Danio rerio: one gene and its partners. The main gene of each other region encodes a partner of the protein of the gene in region 2 in a complex. Links are inferred from orthologs where the notes say so. Each region holds a gene or a part of one and is shown on either strand. Other genes may lie near its edges.

What was found. The genes of interacting proteins can lie anywhere in the genome.
Region 1: polr3g (region 2) and crcp share a complex: the UniProt entries of both Homo sapiens proteins name them as parts of the RNA polymerase III complex. The link is inferred for Danio rerio from reciprocal best matches to the Homo sapiens genes POLR3G and CRCP.
Region 3: polr3g (region 2) and zgc:171971 share a complex: the UniProt entries of both Homo sapiens proteins name them as parts of the RNA polymerase III complex. The link is inferred for Danio rerio from reciprocal best matches to the Homo sapiens genes POLR3G and POLR3D.
Region 4: polr3g (region 2) and polr3f share a complex: the UniProt entries of both Homo sapiens proteins name them as parts of the RNA polymerase III complex. The link is inferred for Danio rerio from reciprocal best matches to the Homo sapiens genes POLR3G and POLR3F.

What each region holds. Positions count from the first base shown.
Region 1 is NC_133196.1:33,905,238-33,911,467, forward strand, and holds the start of crcp (DNA-directed RNA polymerase III subunit RPC9), read right to left. Parts: upstream 4,353-6,230; 5' UTR 4,320-4,352; coding exon of another isoform or gene 4,312-4,319; intron 3,748-4,311; 5' UTR 3,735-3,747; coding exon of another isoform or gene 3,716-3,734; coding exon 3,698-3,715; intron 3,608-3,697; coding exon 3,509-3,607; intron 776-3,508; coding exon 681-775; intron 365-680; coding exon 307-364; intron 1-306. Other genes in the region: asl (argininosuccinate lyase), read left to right, coding at 5,657-5,671, 5,760-5,954. UniProt on the Homo sapiens protein: DNA-dependent RNA polymerase catalyzes the transcription of DNA into RNA using the four ribonucleoside triphosphates as substrates.
Region 2 is NC_133180.1:52,722,712-52,729,098, reverse strand, and holds the start of polr3g (DNA-directed RNA polymerase III subunit RPC7), read right to left. Parts: upstream 3,699-6,387; 5' UTR 3,679-3,698; coding exon 3,568-3,678; intron 3,403-3,567; coding exon 3,273-3,402; intron 2,747-3,272; coding exon 2,678-2,746; intron 1,840-2,677; coding exon 1,775-1,839; intron 1,707-1,774; coding exon of another isoform or gene 1,699-1,706; coding exon 1,645-1,698; intron 1,555-1,644; coding exon 1,429-1,554; intron 1-1,428. Other genes in the region: acyl-coenzyme A thioesterase MBLAC2, read left to right, coding at 5,688-6,129. UniProt on the Homo sapiens protein: DNA-dependent RNA polymerase catalyzes the transcription of DNA into RNA using the four ribonucleoside triphosphates as substrates.
Region 3 is NC_133187.1:7,834,123-7,840,523, forward strand, and holds the start of zgc:171971 (uncharacterized protein), read right to left. Parts: upstream 4,353-6,401; 5' UTR 4,299-4,352; coding exon of another isoform or gene 4,294-4,298; 5' UTR 4,270-4,293; intron 3,987-4,269; coding exon of another isoform or gene 3,986-3,986; coding exon 3,812-3,985; intron 1,645-3,811; coding exon 1,598-1,644; intron 1-1,597. Other genes in the region: zgc:110716 (uncharacterized protein LOC550248), read left to right, coding at 6,010-6,202. UniProt on the Homo sapiens protein: DNA-dependent RNA polymerase catalyzes the transcription of DNA into RNA using the four ribonucleoside triphosphates as substrates.
Region 4 is NC_133197.1:25,886,980-25,893,346, forward strand, and holds the start of polr3f (DNA-directed RNA polymerase III subunit RPC6), read right to left. Parts: upstream 4,353-6,367; 5' UTR 4,151-4,352; intron 2,214-4,150; exon of another isoform or gene 2,085-2,213; coding exon of another isoform or gene 2,029-2,084; intron 1,464-2,028; coding exon of another isoform or gene 1,403-1,463; coding exon 1,346-1,402; intron 1,255-1,345; coding exon 1,187-1,254; intron 806-1,186; coding exon 738-805; intron 338-737; coding exon 225-337; intron 143-224; coding exon 1-142. Other genes in the region: dzank1 (double zinc ribbon and ankyrin repeat-containing protein 1), read left to right, coding at 4,668-4,776, 5,130-5,280. UniProt on the Homo sapiens protein: DNA-dependent RNA polymerase catalyzes the transcription of DNA into RNA using the four ribonucleoside triphosphates as substrates.

The DNA of each region.
Region 1 (6,230 bases), on a different chromosome or scaffold from region 2:
CATACCTTAAAAATGAAGATGATTTAGTTTTCAAAAATGTACACTTCATAGTTTTAGCTTTTTCATAGTATATGCATTAATTGCAGTACTTTTACCATAAACCGACACGTCATGGCATGTGTTGAAAAAAAAATTCGCATTGAGTATGTTAACTAGCGACATTAGGAGTTAGGTAATGCAATACACATTTTTGTTTCTTGGTGGGGCAGTTAAAGGGTTTAACATTTTGAACATACTTAGCATTGTCAAAAATGGGCAAAGATGTTAAAGACAAAGTGTATGAAAAAAAGATGTGAAGACTCATACCAGCTGGATCTCAACAGCAGTCTGAGGTCTGTGGTTTAAGAGCTGCAGCTTCTCTGCTCTTTGAACAGAAATAGAAAAGAAGTTAACAGGCTGCTTTTTTCACAAGCTAAAATAAAAAATCTGATAAACTAACACTAGACTCATTGTCAAGTGCAAAACCAGCAACTCACACGTGTACTGGTTTCAGAAACATCACAACACAAACCTTCACAATGGTGCATCTCAAACCCAGAATTACAAAGTCACTGCAATGCACTGTATTTACTGTGGCTTTCACACAGTTTGAGGCTTTAAGGTTTTTCCTTTCAAAGAGGTGATTCAGTGCACAAGTTTTAAATGCATGCTTACAAAATAAGAGAAAAAATAAAAAGTACTTAGTAAGTTTGTGAGGCAGCATGGCGGTGAGGAACTCCTTCACTGTCTCTGGTTTCTGATGAACACATGGCGTCTTAGAGAGGTACTTCAGGGTCTGTTGAGGCAGAGATTTCAGACGTTAAAGGGCATGACTGAGCAACACAATCTCAAATCTTTGCCTTGTTTTGGAGATAAGGCTGTGCAATATGACAATTTGTACAGGGGTTGGACAATGAAACTAAAACATTGGCCAATTTAGTGTTGGAGGTTTCATGGCAGGTGATTATGCATTCCACCAGTAAGAGCAGAGTGTGAAGGTGTAATTAGGAGAGTAAAAGCACGGTTTTGCTTAAAAAGTTTTAAATGCACACAACATTATGGGTGACATTTTGGAGTTCAAAAGAGGACAAATTGGTGTGCGTCTCGCTGGCGTATCTCTGACCAAGACAGCAAGTTGTGATGTATCAAGAGCCACGGTCTCCTGAGTAATGTTAGCATACCACCAAAAAGGATGAATCACATCCAACAGTAGTAACTGTGGATGCAAGAGCTGTCTGAAAGGGATGTCAGGGTGCTAACCTGGATTGTATCCAAAAATACATAGAACCACAGCTGCCCAACTCGCTGCAGAATTAAACGTGCACCTCAACTATCCTCTTTCTACAAAACTGTTTGTCGGGAGCTCCACAGGGTCAATATACATGACCGAGCTGATATAGCCCAACCTTTGGTCACTCACGCAAATGCCAAACATCGGTTTCAATGGTGCCAGCAGCAAAAATCTTGGTTTGTGGACAATGTGAAAGATGTATTGTTCCTTGATGAGTCCACATTCCCTGTCTATTCCACATGGAAAGAGTTACGGTGTGGAGAAGCCCCAAATAAGCGTACCACCAAGAGTGAAGCGTGAGGGTGGATCAGTGACGGTTTGGGCTGCAATATCATGGCATTCTCTAGGCCCAATACTTATGCTAAGTGGGAATGTCGCTGCCTAGGACTACCAAAATATTCTGGAGGACCATGTGCACTCCTGAAGCCAGTGTCGTGTATCAGGATGATTATGCAACAAGACTCACAGCAAGACTGGTGACAGAGTGGTTTGATGAACATGAAAGTAACGTTGAACATCTCTCATGGCCTGCACATTCACCAGATCTAAATATTATTGAGCCACTCTGGAGTGTTTTGGGGGAGCAAGGTAGAAAACATTTTCCCCACCAGCATTACAAAGTAACCTGGCCACTATTCTGCAAGAAGAATGGCTTAAATCCCTTTGGCCACTGTGCAGGACTTGTATCTGTCATTTCCAAGACCAATTGATGCTGTATTGGCTGGGCTGCAAAAGGAGGCCCTAGACCAGGGATGTCAAACTCAATTCCTGGTGGGCCGCAGCCCTGTACAGTTTAGTTCCAACCCTAATTAAACACACCTGATCAAACTAATTAAGTCCTTCAGGCTTGTTTAAAACCTACAGGTAAGTGTGTTGGAGCAGGGTTGGAACTAAACTGTGCAGGGCTGCGGCCCTCCAGGAATTGAGTTTGACATCCCTGCCCTACACCATACTAATGAATTATAAATTAATCTAAAACCAGGAGTTTCAATTTCATTGTCCAACCCCTGTGTGTGTGTGTACACATATACACACACACACACACACACACACACACACACATATACACACATATACACACATATACACACACATATATATATATATATATAGTTTATTTTGTGGAGTTAACAGTAATACTTGTATATGCGTGTTGACCAGATCATCCCTGCATCATAAGAAAGTTGCAATCTTGAAAGTACAATGTTTACATTATTTAGCAATGTTGGACCTGTAATCATTGGTTTTTGAAAAGTGTTTTATATACTTTATTAATATGTGCTTTATATTTATACCTTCTCAATCAAATATTTGCCCTGAAATTCTAAATAAAGGGAGGAATATGATCACATACGAGTATATCTCTGAGTATGTACTTTAAATTGTAAAAAAAAATAAATCTAGATAAAGTCTTTTACATGTGGTCAATACAAACTATTAATGAATTGAATTTTAGAAATGTTACTATATAGTAAGATATATATCGTTATCAATATATGAGATGACATATCATTATACATGATTTGTCATATCACCTAGTCCAATTTGGAGGTGTTTGTTTATTTATTAATTTATTATTTATTGCCACATCAGCAACTTATGGCTATTTCGTGGCAAAATGGATATTCATAAAATATTACATGAAAAAACGAATTCGTATTACAATAAAAAAAGTTACTTACACGAATATAAAAAATATAAATACAAAAAAATTCACACAAAAAAAATATTCAAAGTCAAATATGATTTTTCAGTTAATTTTTTAATTAATAATTTAAAACTCTTCCTGATGGTACCTTTTTAAAAGTGTCCACTGAAGTACCCTCTTTAAAATAATTTTGTCTAATGGAATTTAAACTTCTACATTCCAACAAAACATGTTTTATGGTAAGAGCAGCCTGGCAGTAATTACATTTACGTAGTGCTTCTTTTTTCAGTAAATATAAATGTGTCAACTTAAAATCCAATCCTCCAATTCCACATCTGGTGTAGGCCATCTGATCATGCCTAGTCTGAAAATTATAATTTGCTAAACGTCTTTCATTTATTTTCGGGTTAATTTCATGCAATTTATTATTTATGCAGTTGTCCCATTCTCTTTGCCATGTTTCGTTTATGAACAAATGGACTGTGGGTTTCAAGTCCTCAGGAGGAATTAAACATTCTGTCACATTCAAGGAGATAGCCTGTTTTGCTGCATCTGGAGATGTTTGTTAGATCACATCAAAAAACAAGCACCTCATACATGATGGTGTTGAGATTCTGCTGCCCGGTGCTGTGCTTATTTTTAACCATCTCCTTTCTTTTTTCTTTCAGGTCTGTCAGCAGCTGATAGACCTGGTGGAGTAGAGAACACTTCTATAGCCACAAACAATAAAAAGTACACTTTTTGTTTTTTTATTCGAAAGTTTTAAAATTCATACTGACCTCATAATTGCTCAGCATAGCAGCATTGGCATCCCTCCTACAAAAGAATACTATTAATATTATTATTAGTTTACTTTAAATCATGTACAGTAACCGGAAATTAATAAATGAGTACAATGTGCAGAAGGTACAGTAAAAAATATTTCAACATTTACCGTTTTTAATATAAAAGATTAACAACGTTTATTTTTGTTCAGTTTCTAAAATTACTAATGTATTGTCATCTCTTAAAAATTTGATTCTTAAATTTTGATTTAACACTGTTAGATCACTGTTTAGAGTTTGTATTTACAAGCAAAACTAGTCAGAGACACACTAAATCCATTGGCTATAAATTTAAAACTTTAAAGACTATGTGAAGGGCTTGTGGATAAGATTTTTAAGACGTATTCTGTGAATCATGTTTACACCTAAAAAACACAGTAGGAATTACAACATAACGTTATGCAGTTTGTCGTTATAACGAGGATGTCCACGTGAGCAGCATTCCATTGTCATTGTTATCCTGCAAAGTAGTTTTCCCCGTCAGACCACCACATAATAAGTATTTTAACTAAAAAGGGAAAATAAATGTTCTCGAATATAAACATATAAAAGTAAAATATGTTGCTTACACTTCCATCCTGCTCGCTTTGTTGGTTCAACATCTAACAACAATCCGTCGAGAAAACGAAGCTGTGTTAAACGTTCCCCCTCAGTCGTCTTGTTCAAATCGGTTCAAATGCTACAAATATTTAAAACAGATAAGATTTCAATATTTTTTGTTTACTATGTATAGATTATAATTGCACCAACAATGAATTAATAGAATGTATATATATATATATATATATATATATATATATATATATATATATATATATATATATATATATATATATATATATATATATATATTTTAGGTAAAATGACAGTATTGCATATTGTTGGTATAGATAAACCCTGATGAATGAAGAACAAGATCTAGTCTCGGACCATAATGCAAATTTTAGTTGTAAATGATACCATCAAGGTATTTCCAAAAATTAAGATTGAAATCTGTATGTTATCTAAATAAGGCTGCAGGCTGCTTTAAATGGCGTAGTATTGGTTAAAATGATTAAACAGCTAAATTAAACATATGATGAAAAATTGGTTAATGTTTTTTCCCCTAATATTCATTTTACGTTATATCCTAAACACATCCTAAAACTAATGACATAAATCACAAGTTCTCTGTGGACGAATTTATTTTATAAATACATGAAAGCATTATTCTTTCATTTTCCTTCAGCTTAGTCCCTTTATTCATCAGCGGTTGCCACTGCGGAATGAACCGCCAACTTATACAGCATATGTTTTACATAGCTGATGCACTTCCAGCTGCAATCCAGTACTGCGAAACATCCATACACACTTTATTAACAATCACCCACATATGGACCGGAGCAAAACACACGTCAACACGGGGAGAACATGCAAACTCCACACAGACATGCCACCTTGCTGTGAGGCCACAGTGCTTTCCACTGAGCCACCGTGTCGCCCCATTAAAGCATTATCTTTCATTTTAATTAGACAATGACGCCATCCATCGTCCATGACCGTCACTGCATGCTGATTTATAAAAGTGTATTTTCCTTAAGAGAGGCGGTTCTGTAGCCTTCGGTATAGTTGACGGGATTGGTTACTCAAATGAACGACAGCTCCCGAAAAATCGCGCTTATGATTTTGATTAGTTCACAAACACCTCATTTGCATATTATGGGCGGGGCGTGCTTGGTCCCAAAATAAACGAGGAGGAAATGCAGTCCGGTCGCTGTTGGATGTGCAGGCTCTTACTGTAATTTATCCCTCGAATACTTAAAAGCACTGATTTGTTCCTTTAATTATATGACATTTCCTCATTCTGTTTGAATCATACGCTTTAGTTTTCCGTTTGCTCATCGCACGTAGGTCGCTACTCTAGAGACTGTTACAATGGCAAGTTCAGAGGTAAATATAGCTATTTAATTTCTGATTTTGCACGTGTTTCATAGTTACAAGCCTTTTAAGAAAAGTCCTAATGTCTATTTTATGACAGGGAAATAAACTATGGGGTGGTCGCTTTGTGGGAAACACCGACCCTATAATGGAAAAGTTCAACGCGTCAATCTCGTACGACCAGCGAATGTGGAAGGCTGATATTAAAGGGAGTAAAGCTTATGTAAAAGCTTTACAGAAAGCAAGCCTTGTAACCCAAAACGAGATGGAACAGATTCTTACAGGCCTTGACAAGGTGATAACATTTTATTCACCACGTTACCTCAACTAAAAACCAGTTTGGTTGCTTACTTTCAGGTTATATGTGTTTGTGTGTGTGTTTTGTTTTTGCAATGTCAGTTTCTTTTTGAAACTTTAGCCTATATGATGCTCCTTGGTAAATATTCACCTGGGTACTGTACCACAGTCCATTTCACCCTTTGGCACCAACGCTTAATGCATAACAGACAAAAATATGTCCTGACACAGACACAATAACAATAGACATGTGACTGTTGATGATGCCTATTGT
Region 2 (6,387 bases):
CCAAACAAAGACGCCTTGGCTAAAACAAGTCTAAATTTTGGGCTGTCAGTGGAAATCTATCAATAGTCATCAAATAGACAGACTTCATGTGTAGTCAATCTTTCCCATCTATTTGATGACTAGTCTATTTTTGTTCTTTTGTTTGACATATTAGATTCTCACTGACAGCACAAATCTGTGACCCTGGAACACAAAACCAGTGTCACCAGTGATGCATGCATCATCTAAAAGCTATATGAAGCTTTCCATTTTTGTAAGGTTTTAATTTTTTTTTAGGATAAGACAGGGGTGTCCAAACCCAGTGTTGGAGGGCCGGTGTCCTGGAGAGTTTAGCTCCAACCCTAATCAAACACATCTGAACCAGCTAATCAAGCGCTTACTAGATATAATAGAACAGGGTTGCTTAACCCTCAACCAGGAGATTTACCTTCCTGTAGGGTTCAACTCAAACTGATCAAACACCTGAACCTATTGATAGACGGCACATGATAATTACAGGCAGGTGGGTTTTATTTAGGTTGCAACTGAAATCTGCAGGAAGGTGGATCTCAGGAATAGCTGCGGTCACACTGGACTTTTCTCCCCATAGACTTCCATTCATATGCACCCGAATGCGTCAGACCGGAAATGCAAGTTAGTGTGTCAAATCGCATCACTTGACTGCGTGACACCAATCGAGGATCAAAACACGATCTCTCTGGACAGGAATTTAAAATGTGGACTAATCGCTCGCTTTTTTTTTTCAAATGTCGAATCATCTTGTTTAATCCCGCCCCATTTCGCAACGATGTACGACAGAATGCGTAGGCACGAACTCGTGATCGCAGATATAGGTTTGGTCAGTTAATAAAAACTGCATGGCAGATGTGTTGAAGCAAGTTGGAGCTAAATTCAGCAGTACACTGCCCCTCCAGGGCCGACTTTGGACACCCCTGGGATAAGACAATATTTAGTCCATAGGTCTCAAACCCAATAAAGGTTTTTTTCTCAATATTTAAATTTTTACAAACCCTCATATTCCAGATTTAGTCATGAACACCTTCATCCCTCCAGGAATTCAGTTTGAGATGATTTAGTCTATGCAACTACTTGAAAATCTGGAATCTGAGAGATTGTAAAAATCAAAAGATTGAGAAAATAACCTTAAAATTTGACTAAATTATGTGCTTAGCAATATCCATTAAACCAAACTTGATTCTAATATATTTACCATGGGAAATTTACCAAAGAAAAAAATCCTTAATATCAATTTCATATTTTAATATCAATTTTAATATCTTAATGGTATTTGACAGAAAAGTAAAATGTAAGACGTGTCAAGGGTCAAATGTAGCCTTATTTTAGCCAAGTTTTAGCCATGTTTGGATGCCTATTACATGTATTCAACAAACAATAAATAAAAATGCTCCCTGAAATAAAAGCGTATACCTCTTCAAACTCTTCATCATAGTCTCCTTCAATTTCTGCTTCCTCTCCTTCCTCGTCATCCTCTTTCTTTTCTTTCTTCACTTCATCCTCCTCATCAGATTTGACATCTCCCTTCTTCTCAAGTTCCTGGAAATAAAAACAAGCGCAAATGAGATGGCTCCAACCAAAAATATCTGTTTACAGTAAATCGAGAAGATGAAAACAGCACGAGCTCACATCCAACTTATTCAGCACTTCTTCTTTGTCCTTAGTAGAGATTTTTACGGATTTCTTCAGATCTGAAAGTATTTAAGTGTATGAGTCATTCAAAACTGCAGTTTGTTTAGGGATTCTACATCTCGATACAATTACCCCTTTTCTTCTTCTTTATGCTCTTCTGTGGTTTTAGCTCCTTCGGAAGACGATTCCAATCTACAAAGAATATCTACAATTTAGTTGAAATTACTCAGCCTTAGGGCTGGTCGATTTGAAGAAACATTTTAACTATTACCATTAATGACCAAATATTTGATTAATTTGTTTTATTATTTTGTCCTCAAGGTTCACTGACAGGTTTTCTACAGTAAATATGCTCACATATTACAAGTAAGTAATATTTGAATGAAGGGTGTATTACTTGATTTAAAAAATAATAATAATTGAATGAAACACTATCTACTATCTATGATTATTTATTGAACATCAATGTTGAACAACTAAAATTAAAACACACATTGTTTAAAACAAACAGTCACTTTTTTTCTTATAAAAAGTGAAAATAACTTATTTGAAAAACAAAAAAAAATATTTTCAGTGTTTTTCATATAAAAAAGTAGGAAATAAGCAGTATCTCTTCTAAATAAAATAACTTTCATATCCTGTAAATAATATTTTAAACAGGGCATTTCTTGCATCTTCTATAAACAAATATTTTAATGTAAATAATCATTTGAATGTAATGGAAAATATGCCATCAAGGCATCTCTGGCACAGCTTCCAATTATCGTCAACATAGTCCAAAGTATGGCTCAAGAATGGATCCATCGTCCTACTTGACCAGAGATCAGATGTGGCTGCAAAGTGTGGCTAACAGAGCGAGGTCACATGACTCCACACATGACAGGGAAAGTAATTGAAAAAAAAAAACTGACCTATAAAAATTAGATCGTTATAAATCATATATCGATTATAGGTTCTAAAGCTTTCGATTTCAATTACTTTTCCATTAAATCGCCCAGCCCTATTTAGCCTATTTCATTTAAATGAATACCTGGTGTCCAGTCTTCATCTTCAAGTTTCTTTATTTCCCGCGTGTATTTTTCCTTGTACCTCTCCACATCTTTAAATCACACACAATAACATCGTGAAAAATACTGATATGCTTACAATAATAAATATATGAAGAGTTAAGATGCAAAAACCTCTAAATGCCATCTGAAATTTTCATCTAAAATGAGTATTTTTATCAGTCTCCTGTGTGTATGTTCAGTAATATCACTTTTATGGCAAAGAATGAGCCCTTTTCCTGGTCTTGAAAGTAAAATATCTTACAAAATAAAAAAGAAAAAGAGGCTGAGAAAAACGTTCATTTCTGATGGAAATTTCAGACAACACTTTTTTTGCATCCAAACTCTTCATATACAGTAGTTGTGACTCATGGTCAAACTATACCATATCAGTTATACTATTTCACTTAAACATATAGTTAAATGGATTTATTGTTTCTAGGTGAGTTAAAACATAGCATTGCCCCCAGTGCATTAACTCATACTCATCTAATTTTACAATTATCTAAATTATTAGACTCGTTGTAGGAGGCAATAGGTATTGTGTGTTCCTAAAATTAAATAAAAGCTCCATCTCACCTCCCTTTCCTGCATGGTGCTTTATGTTAAAAGGAAGGTCCTTCATTCGTCCTCTCATCTCTTGTTTCAAAGCTCTCATATAATCTTCATCTTCGCCAGCTTTCAAAGGCCCCGGTTTATATTCGATTTGCTGTAAGGTGGAGTCGTGTGTCTTTAAAACTGAACCTTCTGAATAAACACTTTCTGACCTTGCTGAATCAGATTTTTAAAGTTTTGAGAAAGAATGGATGGAAAGAGAAATATCCATTTGGGAAATTGATGGAAGAATAATAACAAATGGTTCAGAATAGCTCACTGGGAAGAGTGGAGCTGGTCCTCTTTGGGTTTCAGGCATGGATCCTCTGGTTAGACCCAGGGACTCTATGTTGAAGGAGAATGCTGCTACACCTCTTCCCTTTCCAGCCATTTCTGATCAGATAAATTTTCTCTAAAATCATTTGGATGAAATAATTTTATATTAGTTTAATAAACAAGCAAATATTCATTCACTCATTTTCTTGTCGGCTTAGTCCATTTATTAACCTGGGGTCACCACAGCGGAATGAACCGCCAACTTATCCAGCATGTTTTTACGCAGCGAATGCCATTCTAGCCAAACCCCTCCCTGGGAAACATCCATACACTCTCATTCCCACTCATACACTACGGACAATTTGACCTACCCAATTCACCTGTACCACATGTCTTTGGACTGTTATGGAAACCTGAGCACCCGGAGGAAACCCACGCGAATGCTGGGAGAACATGCAGACTCCATACTGGAATGCCAACCGACCCAGCTGAGGCTTGAACCAGCGACCTTCTTGCTGTGAGGTGACAGCACTACCTACTGTGCCACTGCGTCGCCCAACAAGCAAATATTATGTAATATAATATAACAGTGAGATACATGTCGTTTTAATTGCATAGTGTCAAGATTTGTTAGCTGGCATCTAAGAACCAATAGCTAGGATGTTGTTGACTACTTTTCAATCCATATTGCTTATACATGCTAAACACTATGAGGATGTGAGGACTACACTGTGATGTCACTGGATGGTGATGTCATGAATAGTGATGCAAAACTGTCAATCAATATAATATGTCCCTTTGTAGTATTTTTGAAGGATGTAAACAAAAACAATGGTCTTAGCATATTTCCTGTTTTACATGTTTAACTTGTATAGCTTCCGAGAATCCAAAAAGAGCCACATATTGATAAATAATGTTATGACAGCGGTTTTAACATTATGATATGGTTGAAGTGCCTCTTTTACAGTTATGAAATAGTTTGATAACAAGCAGGAAATGTTCATAAAATACAGAATGAGATTGTTCAGTAATGCACATAAAATAACATTTCAAATATGTTAATTTAGATTTTCTTGAAAGGTGGATTAAAAAAAATGAATTATTGAACTGCTACATGAATTTGAGCAATCATATGTAATTTATTTTCTTTTAAACTATAAAACTTAATTAAATCAATAGTTTCAAGTAGTGTATTTAATTGTTATGCAACTGTAAATGCAAGAACATAAAACAGGGCATAATGCACTGTTTATATAAAGGATGTATTTATTCATTTATTATTTAATTATTTGTAATTTACAGTCATTTATTGTTATTTATTTTTAACAGTATTTTAAATTATGCATTAAGGAAATCTATGCATAATTGTTCTCGAGACAAGCAACTCTGATGTGTTTGGTTTCCTCTTTTTTTTATTTATTTAGTCGTTTAGTTAATTTAGTATATTTATTTATTTTTCCCCAAAATAACTGTTTGGCATTAGTAAACTTAGACTAACAACCCTCGTTTGATCGTCTTTTAATTTCTGAGTTGCCAAAGCACACCTGAATACGATTAATATTAGGCTACTTTACTATTTGAGTAGAATTCACCTCGCAAAAACGCAGCATGTTACAACAATACACTTGTATCTTTGTAAGAAATACGAGATATATGATTGAAACATTGTATTTAACATACAAGATACATTGTAACAGCATTTGGGTAAATAAATGCAGATATAATGTTTTACTTATTTAAATATCCATTACGTTTTACTTATTTAAATCTCCATTACGCTCCGTCGCGGAGCAGCAACAGAAAAAAAAACATATTCAAATAGCAACCACTTACCTTTACAGCTTTCAGACGCATTAAGTACAAATAGGCAATTAATTAAATACCGCTTGTGCTTTATTATTAATATGCATAACTTGGGAGGCGCTAATTTCATCAATGGCCAATAGCATTCTCGATTCTACGGCGCGTCACGTCGTTATGGCTGGTGACGTGTTACGCTTGCGGAACAGGGTGTCAGCGTCCTCCTCTCTGCGGCTGAAGCAGCAAAATTTGAAGCCAGAATTATAGGCTAACAACCATACATCTATCCTCGTATGCAATAACAACATCTTGAATGAATTTGGGATGGCTGCGACCGACTGGTACGCGCACAAGTCGCTGGAAAACGGCGTGTTTTGGATCCAGGAACGGTTTTATGAATCGGGGAACAGGGCGAATATCTGGCTCATTCGCGGTTCTCATCAGGACGTCGTCATAGACACCGGCCTGGGTTTACGGAGCCTGCCTGAATACATCCAAGAGAAATCGCTGCTCGGGGACGACGCGAAGCGTAAAAACCCGCTGTTGGCCATCGGCACACATGTGCATTTTGATCATTCGGGTGGGCTGCATCAGTTTCAACAGGTGGGCGTGCACAAAGCGGAGGTGGACGCTCTGGCCAACGGTGACAACTTCGAGACCGTGACATGGCTCTCTGACCGCGAGATTGTGGAGGTTCCTTCGCCTGGATGGAGAGCCAGGCAATACAGAGTGAAAGCGGTCACACCAACCCATATATTACAAGAAGGTGGGCTTGTAATTACTTGTAACTACTGTGCCAGTGTATGCAACATTATACGTTTTAAGCACATTTTTTATGTGTGCATGCATTTATGCACCGTTGCAGGGTTCAAGGCATAATCTATTACAGTAGTAAAATACACTGAATTGCATGACTTCATTCTGGGCATCCTTATATAATATCTTTTTGAAGAGCTCCAGAGAAAGATCGAAACAAATCAGATCATGCTAAACTCACCAGAGGACATGTCAGTGGTTAGTGAAA
Region 3 (6,401 bases), on a different chromosome or scaffold from region 2:
CAATAAAAATAATAAATAATATAAATAATAATAATAATAATAATAATAATATATCAGTGAATTTATCTAGATTTCTATGTATATTCAGTGCTCAACATAAACAAGTACACCCCTCTCAAATCTCTCATTTAAATTATTATTTGCTATAGGAAGTTTTAAAATATTATATTTGTGCATATACATTAAATTAGTCAGTAATGAAGCTTAATATGGAGCTAATCTAACCAAATAACTTATGATAACGGTCCAAAAATAGTACACCCAAATTTATATGTTAGAGAAAAAATGTATTTAAAAAATAAATAAAAAGAGCAAAAAAAGAAAAAGAAAAAAAATAATAGATTATTATTTTTTTATTTTGTCGTTTGTAATTTCCTTTCCAATATTTAGCATTATTTTTAATGTATTATCTTTCTATTTCTAATGCTGTTCGGCAACTAAAATATTATTTTAATAAATATATCTGTTTAATAAATCTGTTTTGTTTAAATGCATCAAAACACATGACCTATATTCACTGAGAAATTGATAAAAATATTCATTTTCAAAACGAAGTGTATATATTTATGTTGAGCACTGTATATAACATACATTTCCCTTTATTAGGTACACCTTTCCAACTGCTCGGAAGCGCAAATTTCTGATCAGCCAATCGCATGGCAGCAACTCAATGCATTTAGGCATGTAGACATGGTGCCACTCCTGTCAGCTAAAAAATTTGGACAAAAGATGATTGGAAAATGTTGTCTGGTCCGATGAGTCTCAATTTCAGCTGCAACATTCGGATGGTCGGGTCAGTATTTGGCATCAACAACATGAAAGCCTCTTGTTACAAGCGTCCTACCTAGTAACAAAGGTTCAGGCTGGTGATGCTGGTGTAATGGTGTGGGGGATATTTTCTTGGCACACTATGAGCTCATTAGTATCAATTGAGCATTGTGTCAACGCCACAGCCTACTTGAGTATTGTTGCTGACCATGTCCATCCCTTTATGACCACAGTGTACCCATCTTCTGATGGCTACTTTCAGCAGAATAACTTGCCTTGTCATTAAGTGCAAATCATCTCAGGCTGGTTTCTTGAACATGACAATGAGTTCACTGTACTCGAATGACCTCCACAGTCACCAGATCTCAATCCAATAGAGCACCTTTGGGATGTGGGGGAACGGGAGATTCACATCATGGATGTGCAGCCAACAAATATGCACCAACTGCATGATGCCATCATGTCAATATGGACCAAAATCTCTGAGGAATATTTCCAGAATCTATGCCACGAAGGATTAAGGCAGTTCTGAAGGCAAAAGGGAGTCCAATCCAGTCCTAGTAAGGTGTACCTAATAAAGTGGCCAGTGAGTGTATATATATATCCATCCGTGTGTGTATAGCATTATTAATGTATTTAAATATTTATAGTTATGCAATTTAGCCATATTTACAAGGCATATTCTAACTCCCAACCCCAGAACACAGTTTGCTGCTTTGACAAAATCTCCATTATAAAAAGCCCTATCAAAATGAAGAAGAATTATATTGAGCACGAGTACTACAAATACCAAACAAAGCAATAGAATGAGATCTTTAAAAATACTTACTCATCTTTACTTTTGCGAACGGAGTGAACATTTGGAACAAAGGTTTTCTGCAAGGGAAATAAAAACACAGCGAGTCAATTAATAATTGCTTGGTTCATTATTAAAGTAACACTCATATTTATTACACATGACCAGATAGTAATTAGACTAAAATTCTAATAAACTGACAAGTATAAACATAGTATGAGGCATTGACATGATGACCTAATTTGATGTCTGCATTAAAAACAATTTACAAAAAATTTAATTTAATTTAATATTAAAAAGAATATTCAATGTAATGAAGTGTCTATAATTTGATGTCTCAGACTTTAGAGAAAGTAAAATGTCAAGAATATGGGTAAAATAATATTATTCTAGTGTAATTTAAAGTAACAGGTGCATTCATGTAAATTTAACCTGCATTTATTAGATAGATAGATAGATAGATAGATCATGTTATCATGTTATGTGATCATGTTAAATTGTATTATACAAATATATCCTAATGGTTATGGTTTTAAAAAAATGCGCTGCACATTTACATTTTCTTCATAATTTTCTCCAAAGCAGGTTTGAAACCATGTTTTTATTGTAAAAAAGCACAATGCAAGTAACATAAGTTAAAGGAATAGTTCACTGAATATTTTAAATGTAATAATGAACTCACCCACAAACCATTATACATTTCTTTCTTCAATTAAACAAAATTTGATATTTTGAATATGTTGAAAACCTGTAACCATTGACCACCATAGTAGGAAAAACAAATACTAAGAAAATCACTGGTTACAATGTGGTAAAGTTAGTTTTATTTTCGCACATTCTGACTTTCTCCTTAATAATATAATTTCAAACAAGTATTATTGTTTTATTAATGTTGTATCACAATTATACAACATTGTCCACAGCCAAATAAATAGTGCTAATGTTGTTTTGAAGTTACATGTGATTTCAGTCCTAATATTCCTGATAAAGTACTATGGTAAACAATACTAAGGTAAAGTTGATTTTGTATTCGCACGATTGTTCAGTTTTTAACAGCGACAACTTGTGACACGCTCCCTGTATTGTTCAACAAGCTACTTTGACTATTCAGTCTGAAATAGCATGTAAGGATGTCTTCAAAACAACATTGGCACTATTTAACTGACTTTAGTTGTTAATGTTTCCCTTTGACAGTTGTTGGCTGCTAATATTAATTCATTATTTAGAATTTGCAAACAATACTTTTCTCTAGTTATATTATTAAGGAGAAAGCATGAATGTGTGAATATAAAACTAACTTAACCAAGTTACCGTAAACGATATAGTGAGCATTAGGCATGGGACAATAACCGTTTTCGAGGTGTACTGCGGTTTGGAAAAATCAAGGTTTTAAAACTGCCGAAATCTTTTGCTATACCGTTTCCTAAGGTATGTATTTGTTTGTTTTTTTTATTTATATTTTAATTATTATTTATTTTATCTCGTTTTTTTTTTATTTTTTTTTGTTTTGTTTTTTTTTAGGACAAATCTCCGACAACAAAAACATATCTAAAGGTGCTACTTTAAATTGTAAAGAAATTTGAGTTTTTGAAACTAATGAAGACAGCAGAAGTCAAAGACTTGTTTTAATTATTTACTGTAGCCTGACATGTTTACTGTTGGAAAATATTTAAAATGTTTCTCAAAGTAAATTTTTTGTATTTAAAGTGGAAAAAAAGTTTGTTTTTTACCCAGAGATTTAAAAAGAATATATTTTAGAGAAGTAATCACAATACTGTGAAACCGTGATATTTTTTATCCAAGGTTATCATCCCGTCAGAATCTTGTATCGGCCCATGCCTAATGATCATATCACAAGTTCTGAATGAACGAGCGAATACAAAACCAAATTTAAAATCTCAATAATAGTTACAGGTTTCCAGCATTTTTCATAATTATTTATTTTGTGTTTAAGGTAAGGTAAGGTAAAACTTTATTGTCCCAGTTAGGGAAATTTGTCTTGTGATGACTGCAGCTGAGGGCAAGAGCCCAAACATGGACAAAACAATAAACATCCAAAACACAAACAAGTAATTCAATAAATTCAACACAAGACAGAAACGAATAACGTTAAAGGTTTGAAACAAGGAAAGAGTAAGTAAATGATGACAGAATTTTTATTTTTTTGCGTGAACTATCCCTTTAAACCAATCTTTTGTCTTTGTTAAAGATTAAAAACAGCATTAAAAAGGTATTAGAATGAGTAACCTTTTTAAATCCTCCCAGGGTCAGGTCTCTGGACCGCAGGGAGGTCAGTCTGCCTGGTGGAGGAGGATTGTGTGAAATTCTCCCTGGCAGTCCTTTAACGTTGCCCAGAGCAAAAGACGGTCTGAAAGTGGAAGATGAGCTCGCCTCCGCGTCCCCATCTCCATGATCACACATCCTGCCAAACACACAAACAACAAACCCTACTGAGCAGCGTGCAATATGTGATTACTCAGACTCAAACAAAGGTGAAAACCTTAATTTTCCAAGAGAAACGCTCGTTCAAAATACACTAAATGTGCGCTGACTTGGATTTCAAGACGCGCGCGCCTCCATTTTGTTAGCAACCTATGCTATCAAAACAAAGCCTTTCATAGCACTTTATGACATTTAGACGGACATATTTAAAAATGCTGCGCACGGCTGCATTAGAGATAAGTGAAAATAAATACTATACGTACTTGAAATTTGTGTAAACTGCTCACATCATATCTGCCGAACTCTTCCAGCTGACAGCTACATCCTTGCAGGAGCATCATTGGTCACGTGACACGAGCCCTCTGTTAGGAAAAGATTACTCAGACATTTTATATTATATTATATTATATTATATTATATTATATTATATTATATTATATTATATTATATATCATTTTTTAATATTTACATATTATTATTTTATATATCATCTATATTATATTTTATTTTATATTATTATATCATTTTATATTATATTTATCACAATAACAAATTTTTTAATAAAAATAAATAAAATATATTTAAAGTTTTTATTTGTCCATTTAGTCTTATGGTGTCATCATGATGGTTTTGTTAATAAACTCTCAATTAATAAAATATTAATAAACTTTTAACTTAAAAAAAATTATAAGTGCTGTATATTAAATAATAATGAACTAATTTTAAATATTTTGTTTTTAACGGTTATTTTATCTGAACAATAAATAAACATTTTGTTTCAAATCTATTTACATATATATTTATAGCTATTTTTATAAATATCATATTGTATTAGGCCTATATAATGATATACTATAATAACTCTGGACTGTATTTCATAAATACTCTTTAAAATTGTAAATGGTAAATTTTAATTTAATGCACAAACATTTTAAACATATTTATTTATAGTTTTAATTTAATGCACAAACATTTTAAACATATTTATTTAAAGTTTATTTCATTCCTTTTATATGGTCTCTTTTGTGTCATAAAATGGTTTATTATCGGACTGAATTTTAAAACTACTGTCTATGAAATTTCGTGTTTTGTGTAAAATATACTCAATATTTGTACAATACATTTATTTTGAATATTATGCATTAACAAGTATAAAATAAAACTAAAATGAAAAGGTGAAAAATAAAAACATATTTTATAAAAAACTGTTGTAAAAGTAACCACTTCAGTAAGTTTTGGGACACAGACCCCTTCCATCCACCCTTCTTCTAACTCATATTGAACAAAGGGCGGCACTCAACTTTTGGCTGCCCTCACTTTTTTATTCCTATTTATATTATATTATATTATATTATATTATATTATATTATATTATATTATATTATATTATATTATATTATATTATATATTTTGCTAGCAGAGAGCTTATCATTCCTGTTAGAAAAAGATATAATAATATAATATAATATCTAGTTTTTCACAATAATGAATAAATATTGTTCATTAAAATAATGTAAATACATTTAAAGTTTATATTTGTGCAATTTGCAACTAATGTTTCTGAAATAATTTATATAGTTTTGTTTTTTGTAAAATATATTCAATATTTGTAAAATATATTTCTATTTAATAATTTAAATAATACACAATTAATTATAAAATAATAAACAAATTTTTTAATTTAATTTATACACTGGTATTGCCCCAAAAAAACTCTCGAAATGTTACTTAAGAGTCAGACTTATCAACATCATATTTATGGCGTAACAGGAGCTGAACGGTGTCAAGTGGGCACTTTAATAAGTTTTGGGACACAGACCCCTTCCATCCACCCTTCTGGCTCATATTGAACAAAGGGCGGCGCTCAACTTTTGCCTGCCTCACTTTATACTCCTCCGGTCGGTCAGAGTAACTCACACAGAGCCCGCGATGACTGGCGCTCACTCTCCGCGGGAATGATCTGATTTGAGGCTGCGGAGAGTCAGCGGTGCTCTGTGAAAGTCATGGCCGCTCAGTGCGAACCATTAAGCGGATACTTACAGCAGTCTGACCCGGGCTCCAACAGCGAGCGCAGCACCGACTCCCCGCTGCCCGTGTCTGAGGATGACTCCAGCGGACCCACGGCGCCTCCGGACCCCGAGTGGACCGAGGAGAGGTTCCGAGTGGACCGAAAAAAACTGGAGATCATGTTATTAGGTAAAAACCGTTGTTTCCACGACTTCACTAGCCATTTTAGGAGTGTTTAAAAGTAAAGCTCAAAGATTAGTTCTTTAAAATGTACAATTGTGTTTAATAATCGTGCACAAAACAGTTTGAACAAACTAATATCCTATTATTAAAGCATCTTCAAAGCTGATGTTCAGCTTCTCCTTTGTTCGTCTCCTACTGATAATCA
Region 4 (6,367 bases), on a different chromosome or scaffold from region 2:
TACTTTGCAGAAACTTGAAGCACTGTTGGTTGAGAACTTCAACAAATTCTGATTCAAAATCCTGATCACTGTACCAGGCTCCTCCTGTCACAGATCGGTCCGGCTGCAAGTTATACAGCATGTACACCTTCTTCTTAGACGCCTGGATGGAAACAAGCAGGACAATTCATTAGGTCTAAATTAAACATGTTAAAGTTTTATATACAGCTTGGAGATCAACTCACCGCAACAGACTTCACTGCTTTAATGAGTTTCTTACTCTCAAGATTCTTGAGGATTTTATTGATTTCAGTGAGTGGAAGGTTACTCTTATATCTGATGTCTCTGCTCCAAATTCCTTTACAAAACAAATAGGAAGAAAATTATTAAACTAAATATTCTAATCAATATGAAACAGTAGTTTATTTTAGATTTAAATATACATTGCTACAGATGAATGATAAATAGGCCCACACGAAATCTGCACACACAGATTTTCGCAGATTTTTCGCAGAATTCCAGATTTTCCGCAGATTTTCCGCAGATTTCTCCAGATTTTTAGCCCATCATTAATTCCGTTTATTTACTTGGGTAAATGTGTGTAAATCTATACTTATTCAGTTTTTTTTAATTAATTACAGAAATATTACGGACTAATATGAAAATGTTCATCTGATTTATGCACAATGCAGTTTGTAAAGACTGGAAAAAAACTTCCGCAGATTCTGTCTGGCCCTGATGATAAATAAGCATTTTACCTTTATTTCCAGCATCTTCTATGATCTGGTACACTAGTTTCTCTTGGTTATCAGAGCCTTTTACCTTGCTGTCAAAATAAACAGAAACAAACAAAGAAATGAACTTAATTATACATTTATTTATTTTACATTTACTAATACTAAATCATTTTCTTAATGTGCAAATTTGCATGAACTTTGAGAAGATAATTTTAATAAATCTGAACTTACATAAATGTCCTAAATTTGTACGCACATATGACATGTATTGCCTTTATTGTAACGAATTGATTTGATCATAAATGTCTGTGCATGTATATGTATGTATTTATTAGAATTAGTTTTTGCTCACTAAACTTGCATGTGTATATATATTTTGTGTGTGTGAACTTCATATTCTTTTCATTTATACATTAATTACTATAAACTGAACAAATCTGAGTGTTGTGTGTGAATATTGACACACAAACCTTGCAGACTGGGTATCTTTAAGCCTATATAAAAGCCCGCTGCTGTTTCTGAGCAAGTCTAATTGACCCTGAGGACAGAAAAGAACAATCAGACATAAATATAAAGTGCAGGAACGCATGTTTCATTCTGTTACAGTAAGATGGAGCTGAACATCTCACCACAGACAGCAGTCTATTGATGGCCGTGGCTCGCTGCTGCGCCTCAACGTGAGGCATGTCATTCTGGATGACCTGGTCTGTGATCCCATGTGGAAACTGCTGACACAACTCTTTTATCCTATGACAGAAGAGGAAAACACAGCAAACATCAGCAAACAACTACATTTCCCAGCATCCTCTGTGCTGCAAGACAGGAAACACTATCTAACAAACAAAAACGTATTGTCTTTGTGAAAAGGATGAACATGTAAAGGATGCACTTTTATTTTATCAACAAAAATACTTTAATGCATTTTGCTGACGTAATTCTGAACTAGTACTTCAAGCCAATAAACATATCGCATTAAATAGACATACATAAATGCAATGTATTGTTCTTCATCTAAAATAATACTAATAAAGAGGTTGTTTACAAACTCATACACTATTAAAACTTCGTCATTCAAAACGTACATGAAATGCAACGAAGCTCTCTAAGTTACTAAGAAAGAGATTTTGCTTCATGTTGTCAGACTTTTCGGTATCTAAACATGTACACGTGGCAAAAAAAGACAATACATTTGATGGAAACTTTAATTGCTTTTTTAAATCCATGTAACTTTACACGTTGTCCTACGGTGTTTTGTTAACGTCAACAGGCCGCATGCGCAAGAATAGTGTAACGTTAACTGCGTTCAACTCACCTATTCTCGATATCTACAGGGTCCGTTGACTCTTTTTTGACTTTAACTTCTGTCATTGTGCATCAGACTGGAGTTACTGGAGTATTAGACCTAGTGTCAACAAAACAATACATTCATAGACCCATTTAAAGCTAAGATGAAACGCCGTGTGGTATTGCAGTGTGCGAGAGGCGGGGAGAGTTTACAGGCGACTGGGTTGCCAGACAGCGAAAAATAACCCATCAGACTGCTGTCAAATAGGATCGCAACATCGGTGGCTTGTCTCTTTTTAACGGAGAATTAAGCATTTTGTTTTGTCAAACCCAATTATATTTCGGAGTTAAGACACGACTTTTAGTATTTATAACGGAAGTATTCTACATTCGTTGATAAAACACGGATATGGCAACAGAAACTGAAAGCTTCAAATCTAGACAAAAGATTTACATCGCCACCTACTGTACGGGAGTATATCTGTGACTAAAATATCCTCATGATTTAAAGAGGACCAGTGTTGGAGAAAGTTACTTCAGAAAGTAATGCTTTACAGTATTGAGTTACTCCCCAAAAAAGTAACTAGTTACATTACTTAGTTACTTTTTATGGTAGGTAATGCGTTATGTTACTTTTGCTTTACTTTTTTTGACCTATGTGAGGCTGGCTGATCTCTTGCAGACATTGCAGGTTTTTTTTCTTCTTCTTCATTTTTTAGCTCTACAGTTAACAACACACTGTATAAAATTCTTTTCCTAAAAAAAAAAAAAATCTGAATTCCTAAAAATTATGTAGGATAAAGTTATCTTCGAATCAGTTTCTGAGCCCAGAGCTATACATGGTGCATAATGAATGTTTAAAAGAATGCTTTTCCTACTTTAGTACTTTTTGTCTTGGGAGTAAAATCTATTCAAATGATACTCTTTTGCTTTTCCTCCATGTGTTCAAAGTAATGAGAATATTTCCATCGCAGAAATTTATAGCTCTGCCATCTTCATGTCTGTCTGTTCCTGCGTTCTCTCATCGAGTGTGGCATTCATTTTAATTCAGCAATTTATTTTTTTAAAGCGAATTACTTAAACTAAAAAGTAACTCACATTACACTTTTTAAAAAGTAACTAAAATTTTATTACTTAATTTCTGAAGGTAATGTGTTACTTTATTCGTTACTTAGAAAAGTAATACTATCACGGAACTCACGTTACTTGTAATGCGCATTACCTCCAACACTGTAGAAGACTCCCGTTAAAATATAATTTAGAGTTATAAATAGACCATTTCGATGTGGCAATGTCACTGACCCATGAACATTTCCTGCTCGTTGTTGAACTACTTCATAACTGTAACAAATCAATTTAATCATATATTAACTTTAAAACAGCTGCTATAACATTATTTATCAATTTGTGGTCCTTTTTTATTCTTGGAAGCTATGGAAATTCTAAATGTCATAGAGGAAATACATTAGTGCCATTGTTATTGTTTACATCCCTTGAAATGGTCTATAGTATAATACCCCAGTAAAATACACAAGACTTTTGTGACACACTAATTAATTGTACTTTTGATAATTAATTTAAGCTTTATAAAACGTATATATGCTGTACTTTCAAAATAGAATTACATTGATCTTGTTTTATGCTTTAGGTCACAATGTTTTTAATTTTTTTTACATAAATTATGCTGAATGGCGATTTGGGTGTTCTTTTACAAACATAAAGACATATGATTTAAAAAAAAAACTTTGTTTAAAATATTGCATCAAGTACGCATGTGTTAAAATTTATTTAATGAGAATACACGGGAAATTGTTTCAGGTAAAATAGACAAATAGAGAATTTGTAAAGTAAAATTGATATAAAAATCTGATCCAGTTACTGGTCCCTAGAGATTGAGCTAAAGTTGGTTTTATATTGGCACATTCATTCAGTGACAAGTTGTGACATGTTCCCTATATTGTTTATCATGGTACTTTGAATATTCAGTCACACGGCTTCAAAACAACATTAGCAATATTTATTTGACTGTGAACAATGTTGTGCTTAGATAGTCATTGGCTGCTAATATTTTATATTATAATTTGCAAAAAAAAACTAAAAAAAAGTTAAATTATTGAGGAAAGTCCGAATGTGTGAATCTAAAATTTTACCACAATTCTGTAGAGGGAGCTGGGTCAATCAAAAGCCAACCTTTTAGACCGTTTCAAGAAAATAATAAACGATTTTGAATTTTTCTAATTGTGTTTTCCATGGACGAAAATAATATGAAGTAATGGCTACAGAATTAATGTCAAGAGGAGTGAGTTACCCCTTTAAATTTGACTGTGGGAAATGAGCGCATGCGCACTAATCAGTTGCCATGGGTAACGTGACCCACCAATAGCGCAGCCAGCTGTGTGTTCAGTCTAACATTACAGCGTCTTGTACACACCGTACACATCGTGTGCTTCGAGTGTCATCGAAAAAAACACTCATTTAATATAAATATACGAAATATTTACAATTCAATTGTAAAGTGATTAGAGATACTTCAATCTACAAAAAATAGTCTGTGTAAGCTCTTATTATCCAGTAGCCTAATGCACTAATAATAGTATAACGTTAAGCATTTTATGTCATTCTAATGATATATTTTATTTTCTATATTGCAGGTTAAAGAGCACAAACATGACTGCAGGATCAGTGGCAGCACCTCAAATAATCCCCATCCGCATTCCTCCTCCAGGTAAAGCCAAGCATGAGATAGACTCCAGCACTCCTGTTGAGATCAAGTCAGGTGAGTCAGTTTAGCTCTAAAGATACAGTTCACCCCAAAATGAAAAAGCTCTCAACCTCCACTTATTCTAAGTTTTATGAATAACTTTCTTCTGTTGAACGCAAAAGAAGATATTTTGAAAAATGTTGGAAAGCATCAGCAATAGACAATCAAAATATGTTCCTTCTATGGGAGTGAATGGCTGCTGGTTTACAACATTCTTCAGAATGTCTTGTTTCATGTTTAACAGAAGAAAGACATTTATAACATTTTAGAACCGTTTGAGTAAGAGGAAATGACATTTTTGGTTGATCTCTTTAGCACAAGCCTGCGTCTTGTTGATTTTCATGTGTTTTATAATGTATATTTCCCAGAATCCCCTGATGTGAGGGTCCTGTACACGCTGGACGGCAGTAAGCCGGAGCTGACAAAGAGGCCAGGTTTTGCTGACAGCACTCTAAAGTACACTGAACCTGTTCGGTTACCTGTGGGGAAAGTGTATGTGAAAGCCATGGCCGTCTCTATGTAGGTACATTTTATGCTTTGTTTTTTATAATAATGTGTGTGTTGTTTTTAACTACAGGCACTGCTACAAGTGTTGATTTTTATTAAAACTTTGAGATTTTGTTTTGTGCTTTCCCACATCATGAAAGAATTTATATAGCAGTTTATTGTAAATACTATAGTGTTTTTGATTGTAATATAGTATTTACAACACTTTGTTAATGAATGCTACAGCATAGTGAAGTATTAACTATAGTAAACTGTAAATCTGTAATAAATACTGTATTAACTTTTGGTTTTACAACAGCAAACTGTGGAGTATTGTAGTATAATAAACCATTTAGTTGTAGAAAACCTTTATATTTAAGAAACTAGTTTGTTACTACATGTGTTGTAATACCTAAACAATTAATTGAGTTAGCGCAACAGATTAATTTAAACGTACAATAGTATGGTTTGAAAACCTTATTACTTATAATATATAATATTTGAGATCAAATTATATCACTAAAGTACTTACTATAAAAACTGCTAAAGTATTTTTTCATATTTGGTAAATTTCAATAAAACTATTCCTTTATTGTTTACTTGTTTAAAAATGTTCAAGGTCTTTTTGTGTTGAAATTTAGTGCTGTTTCTAAAACTACAGTGATGATGACAAAAGCCAAAGGGAGAAAAGTTTTTTTTCTTTACTTTATTACTTAGGAGTACTCCATTGATACTTTTTGCTTTCTCTTGCAAAACTTGTGTGTTGTAAAACTATCACCTTCTCTCCTGAAATGTGAGCATTTGTGTTGTCAAAACAGTTGATTTTGTTGTGAAATATTAGCATTCTGTTACAAAACTGTGGCAAAAATAATGCTTTGCCACACACAAAAAATGTCTTTTTGTTGTAAAACTATGGATTTCCCCTAAGAAAAATTAATCAAATCATTTCCAAGCAAGCATTTTGTTTTTTGGTTTAAAAAAAATACATTTGCTGTTTGTTCATATTACTTTTTTAAAACTGGCTAAAACTGTTTTTTTATGTGTTAAAAAAACTTTATGTTCAATCCATTTGTAAAAACTAGTATGTTAAATGGTGGCATGGTGGCTCAGTGGTTAGCAC